Linked DNA regions of Callithrix jacchus. The protein of the gene in region 1 binds, or shares a complex with, the protein of each later gene. Links are inferred from orthologs where the notes say so. Each region holds a gene or a part of one and is shown on either strand. Other genes may lie near its edges. The genes, in order: CACNB1 and CACNG1.

Region 1 (4,400 bases):
ACCAACCAGCCATCTCCCTCTACTCCGCCCAGCCGCCCCATTACCTGGCGGACGAAGCTGTTAGATGTGGTATCCGAGGACGTGCTCCCATCTGACCGTTTGAATCGCCCTTTCCTCTTGCTGTATTTGCCCTGAAGAGGCCAGGAAAGGAACCAAGGGTAGAATCAGAAGGGCCCTTTCCCAACCCTCATCTAGCCAGCCCCATAGCTACAGCCAAGCTTGGAAACAGCATTCCCAGATCCAAACAGCCCCACCCCCAAACCCCTGCACCTTCTTCCCGAGGTGGTACAGCCCAAGGGGGGTCTCCCATCCTCACAGAGAGGGCCCAGACCACAGCTAGGAGTGGGGACCAGTGCAACAGGGCCCTAGGAGGCCCACACGGAAACCCCAAACCAAGCCAGAGATGCTGGGAAGGGGGGAGGCGCGGAGAAGCTGGAGGCTCATTAGGCAGCAGAGCTAATTAAGATGCTGGGCAGGCTGCACAGGCCTCCGAGGAAGGGAGAGGAAGGGAGAGGCAGCGGGCAGTGCTGGGGGCGGGGGTGGAGAGAGCGGGAAAGTCCCCCCTCTCCCTCCACAGGAGCAGAGTGGGGCTGTTTATGTTGGTGGCCCCCAGAGAGGAAGAACTGCCAACCCAGGGCCCAGCCTGGCTTCTCCCCATGCCCAACTCTTCCCTTCGCTATTCAGAGTAGGGAGGGGATGACAGCTCCCTTGGAGACTCAGAGCCAGATTTCTGGGAGGGAGTAGGGGCATGGAACTGTATTTGGAGAGTAAACATCCAGCCCTATCCCTGGCACCATGGGGGCAGACTTTGCTCCCCACTCTCGTCCCTTGCCCAGGCAGGACTTTTTCTCAGCTCCCTCTCCTCACAATCACAGTAGCCACATCCCTCCCCAAGGGGGCAAGAGGGATCAAGCTGCTACCCTGTGGCCCCCAACTGCCACTGCCCATGCCCCATGCCCACGGTACCCATCAGGCAACGTCGATCTAAATGTCCCTCGGCCCCACCCCACATGAGCCTAGGATACAGCCCCACAGATCCCTAGTGGGAAGGCTGGCTCAGCCTCACTGACCAGGCTCCTGGCTCCGGTGGAAGAAACACTGCCGGAGCTTTCAGGAAGCAGCATGTTCAGGTTAAGGGCTTCAGGGATTTCCAGGCCTCCTGTAAGAGGATCTGCTTCCGGCCCTCCCCAGCTCACAGGCATACACACAGTTGGTCTCAGCCCAGTCCAGAATGGGGAGAGTGAGTAAAGGCTCAGGCTTCCAAGCCCCGGCCCTCAGTCTCCCTCCTAGACTTTCTTTGGCCAAAGAACCTAGAGGAGCCACAACCAGACTGGGGGTTGTGGCTGCTGGGATCAGGGTACAAGAAAGAGGATGGAAAATGGGAGAGAAGGGCACCTGGGGACCCTTCCAAGATCCTCCCCTCCCCACCTTTCTCTCAAACCACACATACACCCAAACTCTAGTCTTGACGCTCCCTACAAACCTAAGAGGATCTCCCAGTGAGTCCTATACACCACCCTCCCCCACCACCATGCTGGGCAAAGGAGTGGCACTCAGAGGGACAGGGGACAGCTGAAGGGAAGGCCCCAGTCAGCTGCCTCCCAAGTTCAAAGGGGCCCAGGGTGGAGGAAGGTATTTTTAGGTCTAACTTGACCCCTCTACCTCCCCATCAGCCACATTATGATGGTGGTTACAGCTGTGGCCACAGTAATAGAAGAGTTAATGCTACCCTTGGAGAACAGTCCCAAAGAAATCCCCTGGCATGATCATCCCAGAGCCTGCTGGTCTCCCCATGGGAACCCAGAGCGCCCAAGAATGCCACTTCCTGGGGTAACCCGGGGCGTAGGAAAAGTGTGCCTGCCGGGATGGAGAAGCAGACCCCTCCCTCAGGTAAAACAGCTTTTTCCCCTCCCGGACAGTGCGTTGGCATCCATCCAACTTTCCAAACTTTGGAGGCGTTCTCGGGGCGGGGGTGGGGGTAAGGAAAGTCAGCGTGGGTGTAGGGGAAGGGAGCAGGTCCGACGTAGAGATGGAGTCCAGGTGGCTGGACAGGGGCCTCGCCTGGAGCTGTCCCTTTCCCCACCCTCGAGAACCAGTGTTTTCGGCTTGGAAGGCCTGTTGGCATTTGGCACCGCCCTCTGACCATCTCCCCGTGCCACCTCCGCCCCACCCACACCCGCCTGGCGCCCCCGAGCGTGCTCTGAATCGCCCCCCTAGGCTTTCTAGCCTCCTCAACCTCCCCTTCTCAAGGCCCAGATTCTCCCCACCAGCACCCCCACGCTCAGCCCACTAAAGCCGGTGCCCAAGCGGCAGGAACCCTGACGCGGGGGAGACAAGGAGGCGAGGGTGACAGGCAGCCAACCCGCCCCCTCCCCGCTCTGCAGCATCGCCTCCCAGCCCCAGGCCCAGCGCCCATCAATCACAGCCTGCAAGGATGGGGACCCACAGGCATCCCTCTCCCCTCCGCTCCGGGCATAGAACCCCTTCCTCTCCCGCGCCTCTCGAGCCGACCCCCACACGGTCCACGCGAGCGGCCCCCTCCGCTTGGGCCGGGCCACGATGCCTCACCTGCGGGCTCGGGTCGAAGACCTCCATAGGGATCTCCTGGGAGGGTGGGTAAGGGCCCCGGGACATGCTGGTCTTCTGGACCATGGAGAGGAGCTTCCCCTCCCGCCGCCGGCCCGGCGCAGCCGGGCGCCCTCAGCGCATGGGAGAGGCCGTGGGAGCCGAGAACGGCGCGGCGCAGCCAGCACCTGATCCAGCCACCCAGCCCGGCCTTCGGCTCCCTCCTTCCTGCCTTGCCTCGCTCCTCCCGCTCTCCCCACTGCCGCCGCCGCCGCCGCCGCCTCTCCAGTAGGCTCAGCATCTCCCCGCACCCCTCCCTTGCTCCCTCCCTCCCTCCTTCCCTCCGCCCGCCCCGGCCCCGCCCCTCGCAGCCCCTCCGCCGGCACCGCGCACCCAAAGGGCTGGCGGCCGCCGGGAGGCAAGCCCCTCCTGGCTCTAGAGAGCCGCAGGTGAGCCTCCAACTGGCCGCGGCGTTCAGATGGCCCGTTGGGGCGGGAAGGGAGAAATCAGGCGTGAAACTTGGGGGTCGGGGGCGGTCTACCAGTGGATGCCTAACGCTGATGGGGATGTAGTGCATATTGACACGGCTGGTACCGCCCCCCTTTTGTCCCAAACCTCTCTTCCTGCGGGTCTCTCCAACCCACTCCTGCTTGGGCTACCGGAACTTCCCGGTCCCTGTGATCCTGGGACCTAGCTTTAACTCCTTTCTTCCCAGTGTGGGGCCCAGGCTGCCTCAAACCAAACAGAAAAGCCTCTCCCCCTCCAACATGGTTCTAGGGCTGCTGGTGGGAGGCTGAGGCTAAGATGAGGAGGGTGTCCAACAGAGACAGCAAAAGAAATCCCAGGGGTCCAGGAGTTCTGCCTTAATCAGTTACTAGGATACACTCCCCTACCCCCTGCCCCTGCTCTTCCAAAAGGCCAGGAATGGGACTGGGTGAGGTCCCTGATCTTAGAAAAGAGGAAGAAATATGGAGCTGAGAGAGCAGAGGCTGGTAAAATCAGATCTCATGACCTTTGACCTAGAGTTGCTCCACCTTTACCCCTGATTTAGGGACAAACATCCAAGGTCTGGACTCCACCCACCATGACTGGTAAAGAGAAGATGAATAGGAGATTCTGGGCAATAGACCTTGGTGCCAATTTGGCTCAGGCTGTTTCTGGTTGTATGGCCCTGGACAAACCACCTCTGTGAGCATCAGTTTCCTCTTCTCCTATAAAATGGGGTTCCTGGTACTGTGGAGTCTGTGTCACCTGGGATTACTGGGAGGATGAGGGAGAATTAAATGGATTGCTGGGTTGTTTGGAAAAGCTGTAAGGTGCAATGAAAGGGTCAGTCATGACAGGAGGACTCAATTCCTTCCTACTCCACCCCTTCTCCTGCTCCACAGAAAGGAGAGATGGAGAAGACCCTCTCCAGGTCAAGTGACCTTAAAGTAAGGCCAGCTGGCTGTGTTCTGCAGGAGAGGAGACTATGGGACTCCTCCTCCTCACCCGATTCTGATAACAAGTGAATGGTCAGCCTGTCATTTCTCTGATCACATCACCTTGGGGAAGGAGGAGCAGTGAGTGAAGATGAAGCCCCTTAGAAACCTTCCAGGAAGAGCTCCAATCCTGAGCAGAGTTTCCACCTGCCCCTTGGAGACAAGAAAGGCTGGCATAACCGCAAAAGCATGGGCTTTGCACTCAGAGATACTTGCGTTCTCAATCTGTTATCTCAGCGTAAAATGAGGACGACACTAATTGCGTTGTTGTAAGTAGCATAAATGTTGCTTCCCTTTCTCTCTCTCCTACTTTCTCAGGCAGGCAAGTTGAGATAAAAGAGATAGGGTGATCAG
Region 2 (4,510 bases), about 2.6 Mb from region 1:
CCATTTTTCTTGCTGGATTGCTGCAAGACTTTGATTAATTTTCACAGTTCTCAAAAGGCTAATTCTGACAATTTCTGCCAGCACTCTCATTGCTTTTATGTAGAAGAAGATTTTTGGAGGTTCTTTCTCCATAATTTTTTTTCCCAATGTCATTAGAGGTTAATACATGTAAAGCATTTACAACAATATCTGGCACATAGGGTTACATGTACGTGCCATTATTACTGTTGTTAATTGAGAAGCCACATATGAACTCACTTCCTCCCTCTAGAGAAGAGTGGTCCCAGGGAACACAAGAAGGGCAGATAGGGAAAGAGAAAGATGTCCATTTGCACAGAAAAGAGAGGGAAAAAGGCAGGAACATACTTTGGAAGATTACTGGGGGAAAGGTAGTGCTCCGTGTCACAAGCGTGGGAGGTATGGTTCATGGCTGGTTAGGCTAAGAAGTCAAAGAGGTAGATCCTGGTCAGGCTCAAGCTCAAGCAATGCCTGTTGGCTCCAGTGACTAGCATTGGTTCCAGTGACTAGCATTGGTTCCAGTGACTGCGATTGGTCCAGTCACCTCTCACCAGCATGCTGCCCCCCTGTGATTGGTCCAGTCATCTCTCACCAGCCTGTTGGCCCCCTATGATTGGTCCACTCACCTCTAACTAGCCTGTTGGTCCCTTGTGATTGGTCCAATCGCCTCTTGCCAGCCTGTTGCCCCCTGTGATTGGTCCACTAACGTCTCCCCAGCCTGTCACCCCCTGTGATTGGTCCAGTCACCTCTCACCAGCCTGTCTCTTCCTTGTGTGGACTCTGTTCACTGCCCAGCCCTCTTCTCTGACTTTAAAAGTCAGATGGTTCCAGAGATGGGTGAACAGGACTGTAACAGCACGTCCCCATGTGTGGTCCCTGTAGAAGCTACCTCGCCCTGCCCTGCCCTGCCCCACCCAGGGGAGTAGGCTGGAGGCTGTGCCTGTTTATGGGTGTGCTTCGCAGTGGTCAAGGGACATGGGCATCCCAGCTATGCAATACCCTGCCAGCACATGCTCACACCTGTCACCCTCAAGCACTGGGACTTGGTGTTTCTACAACAGCTGGGTACTTACGAGTCTTCTGGGCACCCAGTTGGGGTAAGCAAGGGAGGGGATCTCTGGAGCAAGCAGGAGGGAAGGAAGAGGGAGCAGAGACATGGGAGGATGGGGTCTGGGCTCTCTGACCCACAAACAGACTGCAAGATCTTTGGGGACTCAGCCTTAGTGTCCTTGAAGGACAGGTTTCAAGGAACATCCAGTCTGATAAAAGACGGAATAATCCTGAAAGCCAGGTGGGACATCACACTGACATCACCCTGCTCCACTGCCACCATGGATGGGTGTCCCTCAGCCTGGGAAGGGATCTTATGTTGTTGAGAGTCAGTCCCATATTTTATAGAGGAAGAAGCTGAGGCTGAGTTGAGCTTTGTCCTCCCTGGAGAGTCATTTGGAGCGTGGTAGGCAATGGTGATGATTCCTGGCCGCCTGGTCTCCATGTAGCCCTCTTTCCTCTAAAGAAGTGCTGTATTTGCTAAGAATCCAGAGGCCTCTGCATTTGCAGAATAGAGGTTAGCCACACAAATACCAGGTACTCCTGAAAAAGAGCTTACCTTCGACATGTGGTTTGGTCACATGGTAGGAAATTGAGGAATATGCTTAAATGACAGGATGAGGAAAATGCTTTGACATGGTCTTTTAAAATGCTGATAGGGTCTGAGCTAAGAGAGGAGGCACAGAGGACTGAAGTCCTGACAAAAGTGGGGGTGGAGGCTGGGCACGGCGGCTCATGCCTAATCCCAGCACTGTGGGAGGCCGAGGTGGGCGGATTGCTTGCAGTCAGGAGTTCAAGACCAGCCTGGCCAACATGGCAAAACCCCGTCTCTACTAAAAATACAAAAGTTAGATGGGTATGGTGGCGCATGCCTGCAATCCCAGCTACTGGGGAAGCTGAGGCAGGAGACTAGCTTGATCCCAGGAGGCAGAAGTTGCAGTGAGCCGAGATTGCACCATCGTACTCCAGCACAGGGAACAGAGTGCAACTCTGTCTCAAGAAAAGGTAGGGGGCAGGCGGCTCACCCACAGCCATGTCCTGCTTCATAGACATTCAACCTGTGCAGCTGCCCTAGGCCCAGGGCCCTCAAGGGTCCATGCTTGGTTTCATGCCTCGCTGTCACTGCCTTGAAATCCTCGGTAATTTGGAGCAGGGAACCCTGCACTTTCATTCAGCACAGGACCCTGCAAATTCACCTGTCCAGTCTACTCTCCTGCCTTAAGTCCAGGAACGAACCTGCCAGCCTGATAGGTTCCACGAGTCTGAGCACACAGAGCCACTCAGCCTGTCTTGGCAGGGAGGGAGTGATCAGGTGGGGCCCAGAAGCCCCCGGGCTGGTAGAGCCACAGTCCCTTTCTTGAGCCTGCTCAGATGTCTGCTCTGGACAAAAAGCCCCAAGGTCCAGCCAGACAGAAATAGCTGGGACAAACGCCCTCGTCTTACAACCCAGCTCCGGCCACCAGCACAGCACATGCGAGTCGGATCTTCTTCCCTGGGCAGAAAGGGCTGGGCGGCTGCCCTGTTCTAGGCAGAGAAACCTGCCTTGCTTCGTGTGGGTAACTTTGTTGGGGAAAGATGGGAAAGGGCAGGAAGTGGGGATTGGGAGGGATGCTGGGTACATTACCCCCGGGCAGGGTGATGGGCCCGCACATCTTGCTGTCGTCCATGGGGATGCGCTTGGTACAGATCCGCCAGAGGCCGAAGTGGGCCGCCTCGCAGGTGGTGTTGTGGTGCTCCAGGTGGGGGCTCAGCACAGCCCAGTGGTCGGTTACCACGGCTGTTGTGGCCAGCACGATGCCCGCCAGGATGCAGAAGAGGGTCACACGGACCTTCAGCGTTTTGGTCTGGGACATGGTGGTCGCCGAGGCGTGGGTGCCCTGGGCAGGGTCCGGCGGCTGTGTCTCCTAGGGCAGGTGACAGCCGAGCTGGGGGGTGGCAGTGGCTGTCAAGCTGGGAGTGGCCACTAAGTTTAGTGTGGCCTGGCTGAGCCAGAGTGGGCTGGGCTTGGGGCTGAGGGACGCTGGACATGCTGAGCAGCTGTCCAGACGAATCAGGGGCCTGAGGGAGGCTGCTATTAATGACCGTCTCCAGGCGTGGCACCGAGGACAGCTTCTGCTCAGGTTTCAGGGGTTTCTTCCTTTGGGAGCCAGAAGTACCCTGGTAGGGGGGCAAGGAGAGAAGGCTCTGGGTGGTGGATTGAGGCCTCTGTGGAGTAGCAGCTCAAGGTGTCTGAGTTGGGAGGGGGTGGGCAGCAGGGGCTGGGGGTGGGGACCTGCCTGCTCTGGGCTGCTGGGAAAGGGCATCCCAGGGCAGGGGAGGAGACCAGAGCTGCAGGCTGCCTGGCTCTCCCGGGCTCCCACAGGGCAAGTCTGTCACCAGCAGGGCAGTGAGTAGGTCCTCATCCTGGGATCTGGGGAGACTAGGACTGTTTAGGGACATCCCAGGGAACCCGTCCAGGGCCTCTGGAGTCCACCTCTTGGGGAGTGTTTTAGCCACAAAATCCATGGCCTCCCCCAAACCGTGGGAAGATTATTGGTGTTTCCCAGGCCTGGCCTTTCCCGACTCTGACCCCTTCATGAGAACATCACTTCCTTCTCAATTCTCTTTCCATACCCGGAACTGGGTCCAGAGCAAAGCTGCATTTGGGGTCAGTGTCTGTACTGCCCACAGAGTGTCCTCCGAAACCAAGAGAGAATGGCCTGAAGAGGACAAGGAATCTCGTTGGACTTGGTCGTTCTGTTTTCAGGGTACTGTGTTTGGTTTTGCCTCTATTAACAGCAGGTGATAATGATTTTTATTTAATTTGAACACACTTATTTAATTTGCAAAATAAGGGTGTGAGTAAAAAAGAACAAATAGGTTGATTTACGGGGGATAATTAGGAGGCTCGTGAGTGCTTAGATATGGCAGAGAACACAGAAAGCCTGGAACTGAGCGCCCTCCCAGGGTCCTGTGTGCCTGGCTGCCCTGCAGGGATCCCCAAGGCTCTGGCCCCTACATCCCTCCAGGTTGTGCCAGGTTGTGCCATCTCTTCTTTCTCAGCTTACCGGGTAGCCCTTTTTGGGTCTAGCCGAGAGGCTGATGCATGACCAGGAATAGCTTCCTAAGCTGGGTGGGGCCTTGAGCTTCAAAATCCTGGCCTCAGATTGACACGGTTTACAGAGACTCTCCCCATGTGGACAGAAACGTTCCAGCCTCCAGCCTTGGAATCACAGAAAGTTCACGATGATGATAATAGTAGCAACGGCTCGTCTTCAGCGAGGGCTTCCTGTCGACTAGGCGCTCTGCTAAGCCTTCCTCCAGCATCACAGTTATTCTCCACACCAATCCACAAGGGAGCTACGACTCTTACTGCATTTCACAGATAAGGACACAGAAGCTCAGAGACATGATGCCACTTTTCCAAGATCACACAGCAGGAAAATGAGGAAGCCAGGTTTCA

The links.
Region 2: CACNB1 (region 1) and CACNG1 share a complex: the UniProt entries of both Homo sapiens proteins name them as parts of the calcium channel complex. The link is inferred for Callithrix jacchus from reciprocal best matches to the Homo sapiens genes CACNB1 and CACNG1.

The regions. Positions count from the first base shown.
Region 1 is NC_133506.1:119,682,941-119,687,340, forward strand, and holds the start of CACNB1 (voltage-dependent L-type calcium channel subunit beta-1), read right to left. Parts: upstream 2,827-4,400; 5' UTR 2,653-2,826; coding exon 2,569-2,652; intron 1,134-2,568; exon of another isoform or gene 1,125-1,133; coding exon of another isoform or gene 1,071-1,124; intron 132-1,070; coding exon 45-131; intron 1-44. UniProt on the Homo sapiens protein: Regulatory subunit of L-type calcium channels. Regulates the activity of L-type calcium channels that contain CACNA1A as pore-forming subunit.
Region 2 is NC_133506.1:122,262,895-122,267,404, forward strand, and holds the start of CACNG1 (voltage-dependent calcium channel gamma-1 subunit), read right to left. Parts: upstream 3,027-4,510; 5' UTR 2,922-3,026; coding exon 2,693-2,921; intron 1-2,692. UniProt on the Homo sapiens protein: Regulatory subunit of the voltage-gated calcium channel that gives rise to L-type calcium currents in skeletal muscle. Regulates channel inactivation kinetics.